Saccharomyces cerevisiae S288C: one gene and its partners. The protein of the gene in region 4 binds, or shares a complex with, the protein of the main gene of each other region. Each region holds a gene or a part of one and is shown on either strand. Other genes may lie near its edges. The genes, in order: MRPL11, MRPL33, MRPL31 and MRX14.

Evidence for each region.
Region 1: MRX14 (region 4) and MRPL11 share a complex: the UniProt entries of both Saccharomyces cerevisiae proteins name them as parts of the mitochondrial large ribosomal subunit.
Region 2: MRX14 (region 4) and MRPL33 share a complex: the UniProt entries of both Saccharomyces cerevisiae proteins name them as parts of the mitochondrial large ribosomal subunit.
Region 3: MRX14 (region 4) and MRPL31 share a complex: the UniProt entries of both Saccharomyces cerevisiae proteins name them as parts of the mitochondrial large ribosomal subunit.

Annotation. Positions count from the first base shown.
Region 1 is NC_001136.10:96,864-99,783, reverse strand, and holds MRPL11 (mitochondrial 54S ribosomal protein uL10m MRPL11), read right to left. Parts: upstream 1,310-2,920; coding exon 560-1,309; downstream 1-559. Other genes in the region: TRM8 (tRNA (guanine46-N7)-methyltransferase), read right to left, coding at 1-223; ACK1 (Ack1p), read left to right, coding at 1,831-2,920. UniProt on the Saccharomyces cerevisiae protein: Component of the mitochondrial ribosome (mitoribosome), a dedicated translation machinery responsible for the synthesis of mitochondrial genome-encoded proteins, including at least some of the essential transmembrane subunits of the mitochondrial respiratory chain.
Region 2 is NC_001145.3:840,182-842,723, forward strand, and holds MRPL33 (mitochondrial 54S ribosomal protein uL30m MRPL33), read left to right. Parts: upstream 1-1,760; coding exon 1,761-2,021; downstream 2,022-2,542. Other genes in the region: NGL2 (RNA exonuclease), read right to left, coding at 1-1,510; DSS1 (exoribonuclease II), read right to left, coding at 2,255-2,542. UniProt on the Saccharomyces cerevisiae protein: Component of the mitochondrial ribosome (mitoribosome), a dedicated translation machinery responsible for the synthesis of mitochondrial genome-encoded proteins, including at least some of the essential transmembrane subunits of the mitochondrial respiratory chain.
Region 3 is NC_001143.9:184,786-187,707, forward strand, and holds MRPL31 (mitochondrial 54S ribosomal protein mL60 MRPL31), read right to left. Parts: upstream 897-2,922; coding exon 501-896; downstream 1-500. Other genes in the region: HSK3 (Hsk3p), read right to left, coding at 18-227; CMC1 (Cmc1p), read left to right, coding at 1,172-1,507; APL2 (Apl2p), read right to left, coding at 1,675-2,922. UniProt on the Saccharomyces cerevisiae protein: Component of the mitochondrial ribosome (mitoribosome), a dedicated translation machinery responsible for the synthesis of mitochondrial genome-encoded proteins, including at least some of the essential transmembrane subunits of the mitochondrial respiratory chain.
Region 4 is NC_001136.10:680,432-682,992, reverse strand, and holds MRX14 (mitochondrial 54S ribosomal protein bL34m MRX14), read right to left. Parts: upstream 819-2,561; coding exon 501-818; downstream 1-500. Other genes in the region: mitochondrial 54S ribosomal protein uL1m MRPL1, read left to right, coding at 1-269; YDR114C (uncharacterized protein), read left to right, coding at 767-1,069; PDS1 (securin), read left to right, coding at 1,376-2,497. UniProt on the Saccharomyces cerevisiae protein: Component of the mitochondrial ribosome (mitoribosome), a dedicated translation machinery responsible for the synthesis of mitochondrial genome-encoded proteins, including at least some of the essential transmembrane subunits of the mitochondrial respiratory chain.

The DNA of each region.
Region 1 (2,920 bases), 580 kb from region 4:
CCTGGGGAGATACTGGGTACTCTAACTGGTGATCTGAAAATGGGTTGGAATGCGCCCTTTGACGATAATATCTCTTCTTTGGCAAGTCGATCTTTTGGCCTTCTTGCACCAAAGAACTTTCATTGATCTTTACATGCTTCAACTCCTTACGATTTTCTTCCTTATTTATACGGTATGCGTAACGCTTGGAGCCTGGATCTTGGCTTAGTGGCTTGGCTTTCATCTTAACAATAAACGCTTGAAAATTTTATCCTATGGGAACTGCTGAATCTATACTAATCCAGCTTTTGTGGCGCTTTAATAAAGTGAAATGTCAGAAATATCCTGAAATTTTTTGCTGAAGTCATCACCAAAATTTTTCATTTTTTTTTTTTTTCAACGGTCGCTGAGATATGTAAAAAGGTAAGAAAGGTAAAAGAAAGGTAATTTTGACGTCAATACATAGACTAAAGTATATTTACCGTTATTGCTTCATTGTCTTTTTATTTTTTGATGATGTATGTACATGATTGAATAGTAAAACCTTTATAAAACTTGTCGAATTACGGGCATTTTCTTTTTACTTTGATCCCTTCGATTCTGCATCTGTAGTTGACTCCACATCCTCTTTAGGTTTTTGGTTGTCATTGTGAGATTTTAGTGTTAAATACAATGCATTTGAACTGTTTTCCAACGTACGAACCAAACCCAACCCACTTAGCATTTGCAAAACGCTGACTAACTGCGACTGCATTTCCGGCTTTGTGGGGAGAGTCTTAAAAGTGTTTATTTTTTCCACATTCAAAACTTCGTTTTCTACTTTTGCACCAATCACCATCAGCTTGTCTTGTGCTGACTGCAGAACCTTCAATAGCTTGGCTACTTGTTGAGGGTTGGTGTCTTCGTATGTAATTGTGGCCGTAGGACCCTTCAGTAGTGGCAAGAGTGGATGTTTCCAGTTTTGCTCTTTACGCTTCACGAATCCACATGGGTCGGGCAGATGCGAATTTCTCAAGTAGACTTCGAACAGGTTGTTTCTTACTTTTGTGAGTTTCCCTCCTGTCTGTTTAATCTTGAATCTGAAATGGTGATCTTCTGTTTTGGAAAGATTATTGTAATGGACAAAAAAAATCATAGAACTGTTCTCCATTAAATGCTTGTATGTATCGATGAGAAACGTCTTCCTCGAGTCCAGCGGCTTTACTGTCTTTCTTGAGGGTTGTTCAGAAGCCAGAGCATAAAATCTCTTATGTACTGTACCAATTGTCTCCTTCAAACCAAAAAAACCATTTCTGGGGACCCATCCAGGCATAAACCTTAGCTGCAACATTATTTATAATCACACTCCGCGCCCAAGCACTTCCAATAAGGTCTAAAGCTTTTGTTTTCCTTACTCTTCAATTGTACTAACCTTCTTTCTTTTCTCAGTTTACTGCTATAACTCTACGTTTTTTTCTGTATGAATCTCTACTAAGCCCTAGGGTTATTAGTGTATAAACGTTAGGTTACACTATGAAAAAGACTTGTTTAATAGGTCATATAGTAAAAAGCTTAGGTTAAGTGCCTTCAAGAACGAAACCTAATTTTAAAATTGACGACTAATTATCAAGTGTATTGAAGATGGCTTGAGATGAACCTTAGCACTGGATGCTATGGCTTGTAGAATAAGCAGATATCCCGGTAATTTAATTTGAGTTGCTCAAATTATATACAAGAACGTGGTAGAGACTGGATTTGGAAGCGTCTCTTTTTATGAAGTAGATTTTAACTCCGTTTTCTTTTCATTTCCTTCTATTCTTTTGTACAGAGTGTACCACCACGTTTTAATACTTTGTTTTAATACAGTAGGCAATGGTTAATCAGGGCCAACCGCAACCTAACCTCTATGACAAACACATTAACATGTTTCCACCAGCAAGGGCGCGGGAGTCCTCGCATAAATTGGGAAATGCCAATTCGGATAGGCATGGTTTGCCAGCTCAAAATATAGTGCCTGCACCCTATCCAGTGGATGACTCTATCGTTGAACTCACACCAGCTATTCCTTTTACATCCCCTTCATCTTCCTCATCATTATCGCTGCCTTTGAGTGCGCTGAATTTCACAGACGGGAATGCTGATGGTGGTCAATTAGGCACTCCAGTAACCATAAATAGTAATAACGGCATGGACATTTTTAATTCCAAGCCAACAGGTGAAATAGGATATGCCAATAATGGCACCAACAGTACTGGTAGTAGGTATGAACTTCCTTTCAATTTTAGTTCTACAAAAGAGAGTTTGGGTTCACCAGCTGTACAAGATGCATCAATAAGCAGTGGAAATCGAATATCAGAGTCTGTAAGGGACAACTCAGCGCCACCACCCTATGAGGAATCTGAATCTAGGATACTGCAGGAAAAAGTTTACAGAACCGAGGAAAAAGCTCCAATACGACCTTTGAATAATAATCCTGTTCCACCACAAAAAATCAACCAACCACCCACTGGGAGCGCGAAGACAGACGATAATGGGTCCTCAGGTGGTGAGGACAAACTGTCTTCCTATTCACCAGAGGCATTGGCTTTCTATCAAGTGTACAAGAAGACAATTACTGACTCTTCAAAATTCACCCCCGAGATACAAATGCAATGGTGTGAAACATTACTTACATATGCCTTTAATGAGGATTTCATATCGCAATATAACATAAACGCGGAGAAGCTCAAAAGAAGCTTAAAGCCTGAGGAAATGCTCAAAAACCAGAAAGTCATTTTGGAACATTCATTCAAGGTGCTCACAAAATTGATAACTTTAAAATGGCCACCTGCCATGTATTTAATGGGGACGCTGTATTCACACCAACCCTATTTACCTATAAAGAACAAAAACATCGTTATTAAAAATGATGAAAAGGCGCTGGAATATTATTGTAAAGCTGCGAAATTGAACAATTCAGATG
Region 2 (2,542 bases), on a different chromosome or scaffold from region 4:
GATCACTTGCATATTCTCCAACATGTGGTTGTCCATGCTTTGTCATTTCATTACCGGGCGGCATTCTCAAAAAACCTCTGCATTTAACTTTATTTTCTTTTTCAAAATCGCCAAGGGTTTCCACTTCCTGACAATTACTTTGTGGGTCCCATTTCTTTACATAAAATAGATAGTCTAATAAACCACGCCAAGTGTTTGCCCAATTTGAAATTTCAGGCTCACCTCTATCATTATCAAGACCTGCATTTTCTGGATGAACATTCTTATACCCAACAGAGTATAGTGAAATAGCCCTCATATCCAATGAGTTATGGAGTTGTGCCATTTTATCTACGAGTTCAGACTGTTCTTCATTAGCATGAAATTTTTCAGGAACGGGGCTCTCAGGTTGATCTTTACCATATTTTTCAATATTCCCGCCTTCTTCGTCATCTGCACCTTCTTCGCCATCACGGACCTTGGAAAACTTATATGAAGTGCTGCACCCAATGACGGTCTTTGCCCTGTTTCTATAGTGCACTGGTTTGGATGTCATAGATAAATATGGTGTGTCGAACGGCTGGGAATTAAAATCACCACAGAAAAAAGGAAACCAATGAGATAAATCCCCATCATTTTCGTTCTGTAAAACATTCACACGATGCATGAATTCCTTCATCTTTTTTAAAACAATATAGCATTGTCTTGTTCGTTCATAAGTACCAAATGGATGCCAAAATAGATGCGTAGTGCCGATCAAGATACCGCATTTTTTAGACGATTTTTTACCCAAATTCGACAGTACTTTCTCAGAAAACTTCAAGGCTAAGACTAATCCCACGTTGTTTGTCGTTGTTCTAGTGGAAATGCTTTCTGAACTTTCTTTATCATAGTCGATTAGCATTTTGTCAACCTGGTGAAATAATTCTCTCCTCCACATTATCGCGACACCATGGTTTTTTGTAGCATTTCTATAATATTGTCCATCGTATCCCAATTTACTGAATTCATCTTTCCAAAAGCTTTGAAACTGAATATGATCAATCTCTTGCAAACAAATGACATCGGAATTATAATATTTAAACTCGTTTAAGAGAACTTTAGAACGCCTGTACCATTTTAAAGCGTCACCACTATCCGGGAACAGCTTTCTGCGGATTAGAGCTTGCGCCAAGCAATTATAAGTCATTAGCTTGAATCTAAATCCAGTTACTGGCTCTGCCTCATGTAGAGATAGGAAAGGTCTTCTGATAAAATGCAGCTCTGGCGGGCAGTCCGGATCAACACCTTGAGCCAACATTGCATCTCTTTTAGCCTTTCTCATAACTTCCCTTTCGGCACGAACCTTAGCGATATGTTCTGGGGTCACTATGGGCTTCGATTTTTTACCTTTCTTGCCCTTCTTTTTATGTTGAAGTAACGAATCATCATTGGTTTGATGTTTTGCATCTTTTACAGATTTATTAATTTCTACTTCTTGGTCGGGCGCAACATCTGGGGCAACCACTTTGACTTCTTTGTCTTGTGTCATATTTACTTAATACTCTTAACTACAATTAAGAAGCTATAAGGAGACTACAATCTCATCTTCTTGCAACACTACTTTTCCTTTCCTCTTGCTTTAGTGCAACCATTTTTTGAAAAATGAATGGTCTTTCTGCACGAAATATCTCTCGAAGAGCTTTTCTAGATATTAAGGATAAAGTATATCATCCCAAAAGTTAGGTGATGGAATCAATATTGATGGACCAGCTAAAACACGTTGAAAGCAGATATCAGGAATGGTGTTTTACAAAGTCACGTTGAGTAGGTCGCTTATCGGTGTGCCACACACAACGAAGAGCATTGTCAAAAGTTTGGGTTTAGGTAAAAGAGGGTCCATAGTCTACAAAAAAGTAAACCCGGCCATAGCTGGCTCCCTAGCTAAAGTAAAAGAGTTAGTCAAAGTAGAAGTAACAGAACATGAATTAACACCATCGCAGCAACGAGAGTTGAGAAAGTCAAACCCTGGGTTTATAGTGGAGAAGAGAACCATCGACTGAAACAGCGAAAATAAGGCAACTGGATTTCCTTTCTTCTTGATATTCCTGACTTATATATGTATATAGTATTATTTTTTCCTGCATAGGCACATATGTTAATAGTAATTTATGCAATTTTTGATACAAAGAAATCAATACACTATCTCGATTTCATATTTTATGTATGTATATATTTACAAGAAGAAAATTATGCATGGTCTATTGAATTTTATATTTGGAAAAAGAGTCCCTTTTTATAGCTTTTCCAACTCTAACATTCCTTCTAAACAGTCAATTTTTGAAATTTTACAATTCTTCACGATATCTCCAATCATCGGATAATGCATAGAACTTGGATGCAATTTTAATGTTCCTCTAGCGAACGATAAGTCTGGAAAAACACATCCAGTAAATCCGTTCTGCGGTACTGATGTTACCATTACATCGAAAGTCCTTTCTGGCTCTAGTTTGGTTAGCTTTTTTAAATAATTCAGTGTCCAGTACGTCGACGAATTACGGCTAGCCCTTTTTAAAATATCCGC
Region 3 (2,922 bases), on a different chromosome or scaffold from region 4:
GTCTTACCTCTTATGCCTTATTGCGTTTTTCCAAGCATCTGCTCCATATAATAAATGTAACTACCTATCAACCAACTTCCATGTACCTTACCCAATTGGCCTACCAAGTTTTCGTTACATTGTTTCGACATGATATCTAGTTGTTTTGTCGTTTCCTGTAAATTCGTTTGAAGCTCTCTAAGTTCGTGTGCAAGCTGATTATACTGCCTTTGTTTGTTAGCGTTCATTCTCTTGCCTGAAATTCTTTGTGTCCTCTTCGTTTTGAAGTTCAAATGTTCTGATATGTTCTATTTCGCCATTTATCTTGTTGATCTTTCTTCCCACCTTTACAAAAAAATAACGTTGATTTCAATGGGCATGATATAATATGAGCAATACAAAACATCAAAGCCTTCTTAGGAGTGTTACTTTCAAACATGGATCTATAAACAAGTTATTCAATGATTAAACTATATACAGATGAAATTTTTATATCAATAAAACGATCTTTTACGTATCATTCAAAAGAATTTTGGGGCCTTTCTAATGGAAATCTTCGTCCACTTGGGCACCTTATGAATACCCTTCCTATAACCAACAGCTTTTTTATCAAAAGTCCAATATTTATCTTTAGAAGACATTTGATTCTCCTTTGGAAAGACTGATGGTTTGTTTAACAACCTTAACGATTTACTTCTTGGCTTGTATTTCTTTTTGCTCTCCATGGCTTCTTGATAAGTAAGACCTTTATCCTGACATCTTTGGACGTGGAGACCTAAAGTTAATTGCTTTATGACTTGATCAACGTTTCTTAATCTTTCCCTTTGACGGGTTTTTTGATGTGTGGACATTCTCCATGGAATTTTCCATAGTAGGCCACCAGCGACGGGGCTTGTTAATTTGAATGGGCCAAACATTGGAGTCTTATAACTTGGGTAGCCTTTTAAATACGTCTCCTTCCTACAAAGTACGGATATCTTTTTTCCCTCTTTGGCTTCCCTTTGTCCTTTTGTTATACCGTTCTCTTGAACTTTTTGAATGCTCTTGTACTTCTCCGATTATAAAGTTGAAAACGGAGTGCCCTGTATTTATACCTATGATAGTTTAGGAAGATTTAACCATAATTAAAGCCAGAGATACAAAAGTCGAATATCTTCAAGTTATCTGGAACAACTTTCATATATTTGATAAGATGGAGCAAAACAAAGATCCGCAGATGATCTCGAAACATAGTTCTAGGCTACCTATATGGGTGCTAAGTCCTCGCGAAGAACAACAGGCTCGCAAGAACTTGAAGACGGAAACATACAAAAAATGTGCAAATTTTGTTCAAGCAATGGCAGATTGTGCTAAGGCAAATGGAATGAAAGTTTTTCCCACTTGTGATAAGCAACGAGATGAAATGAAATCGTGCCTCCTGTTTTATCAAACAGATGAGAAATATTTAGATGGTGAAAGGGATAAAATTGTTTTAGAAAAAATCAACAAGCTTGAAAAGTTATGTCAAAAACAAAGCTCTACAAAATAAGCTGTGTTGATTGATGTTTTTGATTTACATCTTTTAAGGATTTTTTGATATATCCATTCTTGTACATAAATTATATACACACAGCCCAACAATAAAAAGGAAAAATTAATACGAAGGGTATATATGTATGGTATAATACTTAAGTTCACTACAACGGACGTTTATAGTCAGAATAAATCGAGGAGATCCTGTGACACTATATTGCCGCCCGAAACATCGGGATTGTTTTTACCACCAGAAGATATACCGTTTGAGTCGCCACCTAGTTTCAGCTCCTTCAACCCTTGTACAGCCTTGGTATCATTTGTATTTATTTGTGTGGCATCCTCAGATGGTCCGAAATCAAATAAATCATCCAAATCGCCTAAAGTTGTTAAAGTATTCAGCATTCCTGCATTTGTATTTGTTACATCATCTCTTTCATCAAAATCCAATAGCACATCATCGTTAGCCTTGCTAGAAATTTCATTTTTTGCCATGCTTTCTAATTCCTCTATATGTTTTCCTTTAACTATATTTTGAACATACTTTTTGCCTTTTCTCCTATTTGAGTCGGGCTTGAAATAAATGGAACTTATAGTACCCAATTCCATTAATAGTTTCTCTAGCACTTCTGGTGAAAACTTCTCCAGTGTATTGGAGATCATTGGAAGTTTATTTTGACATAGATCATTAACCAAACTTTCATTATTTGGCATCGAAAGGCATCTCCAATACATCATAGCCATATCTCGCACATCTAATTCATGTGTCTGTTGTGTGGCCAATTCTAGGACGCTTTGTAGCATACTACCCGTTAAAGTAGCATGTAGTCTGACTATTGTCATTAGTAAAGACATCTGTGTTAAAGCTTCCTCTTGAACAAAGTTCTCTATAAAAATATTGATTTTTGACTCCAAATCTGAGAAATTGTTGGGATGCTGTCCTAGCAACCAGACATAGTTGCACTTCGCAATATCTGATTGTAATAACACCTCTGGATTTGACCAAGTATTAAATACTGCACAAACTTGTTTGGCCATCTTATCGTTTCCGGGGCAATGTCTTAATAAATCACATAATGATATACAGCAGTCGTCTTTTATTGTGTCTTGTCTTTCTAACAATTCTAGGAGAATATCCAAGACTTTACTGACGAATGATTCTTGTGCATATTTAATACCCAACTGGGACAAAGCTTGAATAGCTCTTGAAACAAACTCAGGTTCATATTCCATTGCGTATTCCTTTAATTCTGTCAACAACAAAGTACATTGTTTCAAGTTGGAAGGATCGACTAGTCTTACAAGGATATCGATCTTCTCTAACTTGACGTAAAGAGGATCGTTGAACTTGACATAAAATATTCTCAATTCTTTGGTTAACAGCTCTGGATATTTCTCCAATATGATCCTAATATTTTTCAAAGCAACATA
Region 4 (2,561 bases):
CTGTCAAAAAAGGTACGGTGAGTGATGATATAAGCTCCTTACTTCAAGAAAGTCTAGGATCTATGCCTTTCAGGCAAAGGGGAAACTCTATCAGCATTGGAGTCGGCAAATGCTACTTCACTGATCGAGAAATTTTACAAAACATTATATCCGCTAGAGCGGCATTTAAAACTGCTGTTGATAATCAAAAATCTAAGAAACCAAATATACTGAGTAAAACCACATTATCAAGCACACATGGCCCCGGTATTGTAATCGATTTTGCTTAATCAGCGAATCAGTTTTGTCTTGTTGGACTTTTTTAATTGTATATATATATATACTGGTGCATTTTCTTTCTTTTTATATAAAATCATGTACATACAAAGTAACCGTCTTTTTAAAGTGGAATAAAGTAACTGCTCTTTTATTTTTGAATAATAGTGAAAGTGTATGTTGCATAATCATTAGATACCTATGTACAAGAAGTATTCAAATTTATCTGAATAGTATGTGAAATTTCAATGAGACAAAAACCACCTACCTTTGAGCTTCCTCCTTTTCAATATCTTAGAGCCCTGTTTGCTCTTGGCCCTAGCCAAGAAACCAAAAGTTCTCTTCCGTTTCAATGTACTAGGTTGATAGGTGTTACCCCTTGATTTCCATCTTCTTTGACCTATTAAGCCAAATCCCAACGGTGTGAAGGACGGAGTCTTCAATGGTGAACTGTTTAAGAGCATACCGGTTTGTGGGCGTAACACAGATAGAGCAGAGAAAGAAGATATAGATGAAAACATTCTTCTTGATTGAGGCTGGCAGAGCCTTGCAAATAGTGGCATTCCGTCCTGCGATTACTACTGTTCTATTCCAACGTTTCTCAGTGAGTTTCTCCTGTAGTTATTTCACTTGTTGTACCTCACAGCTTCTACGGGAAAATTGGCTTTTCAAATTCCTTACAGCTTTCGATCACGTGATCCGAGCTTCAAATGACCTTTCGACGATGCGTTTCATGATTATGTATATATATGTATATATATATATCTATACAGTCTTAAGGAAGCGCTTAAGTTGTTACATGTTAATACTTTAGGGTTGGATTTATTTTACGGATAACATAGGATTTGCGAGAAATATCTGCTTCACTATCACTTTCCGTGCGACGTGTGTATTTGTTAGCGTAGGTTGCTTATCGTTTTCACACAAAGATCTCAAACGCGTCAAAAAACTCGTGTAAGAGGTCAAAAAGAAAAACAAACAAAATAAACAAACAAAATAAATGCAGCTTTAAATCAATATTCGGCGAAGGCAAGTAACGGTTGCTAGCGGTTTTTCCCATTCACATACTATTACACTTCTGCGGTACCAAGCTAGATTAAGTGCTAGATAATAAACCTTTATGATGCCAGCTAACGAAGATAAAGAGAATAATATCGTATATACAGGGAATGAAAGTTCCGGCATTAACTTTCCACAGACGCCGGCTCACTTGCTGAAAAGGTCGCACTCTAATATTTTAAAACCACCTGTAAGATTGGACCAACTCAAAAGGGATGCGAACAGCAACAATGGCAACACATTAAAGTACATACAAGGAGGGAAGGAGGTGTCACCCACAAAAAGGTTGCATACCCATGCGCAACAACAAGGAAGATTGCCTCTGGCAGCAAAAGACAACAATAGATCGAAAAGCTTTATTTTTCCCGAAACTTCTAATCAGAGTAAAGATGCAGACTTACCACAACTACAGAATACACTATCTATACGCAAAAACGACCAACTCAGGAAACTTTCGCAAATTTCTCGCAGTCGTAGTAGGGCCAACCATAATGATTTGTTAAGCAATTCAAGAAAGTTACAAAAGTACGGTTCTGTCCTTGGTTATAATGCTTTACCTAAAATGAAAAGTCTAGTTTTAAAAGATCTTGCAGATTCAGGTAAAAATGAAGAGAGTTCCGACGATGATGAAGGTAATGAAGATTCCGAGAGTAAACTTGGCAAAAAACTCCAAAGTGCACTTTTAAAACAGGATTCCTCCGACGGTGAAAATGAATTAAATGGTGGCCTAGGACTATTTAATGAGCAAGGTGGTCTGCAACAACTCATAAAGAACTCCACGAAGAATGAGCAAAAAACTAAAAACGATAAAAGTGATAAAACTGATGACTATGATATCGAAATAGCACCACAGAGGCAGGAGCCGTTACCGTATGTACCAGAAGGCTATTCCCCATTTCAACAAGATGATATTGAAAAGCTGAAGACGTTCAACTCACCATATAAGCTTGACTTGGAAGACGAAGATGACACCCCAGATAAAGTTGATTTACTCCCACTAGAACAAATTGATGAAGAAGGCGAAAAAGATGAGACTGAGTGCATCACTCGGAATCAAGAAGAAGGTGCAGCGTTACCACTGCTGTCTAAGAACTTCAAAGAAGTTGCCGCCGTCCCAACCATGGAGTTAGTGTACAGCGAAGAAGGCCTCGATCCTGAAGAACTAGAGGACTTAGTTACTTAGATCCACTGCTCATTCACATACACACAACATATATACACGTATATACAGATACTTTATAACATAC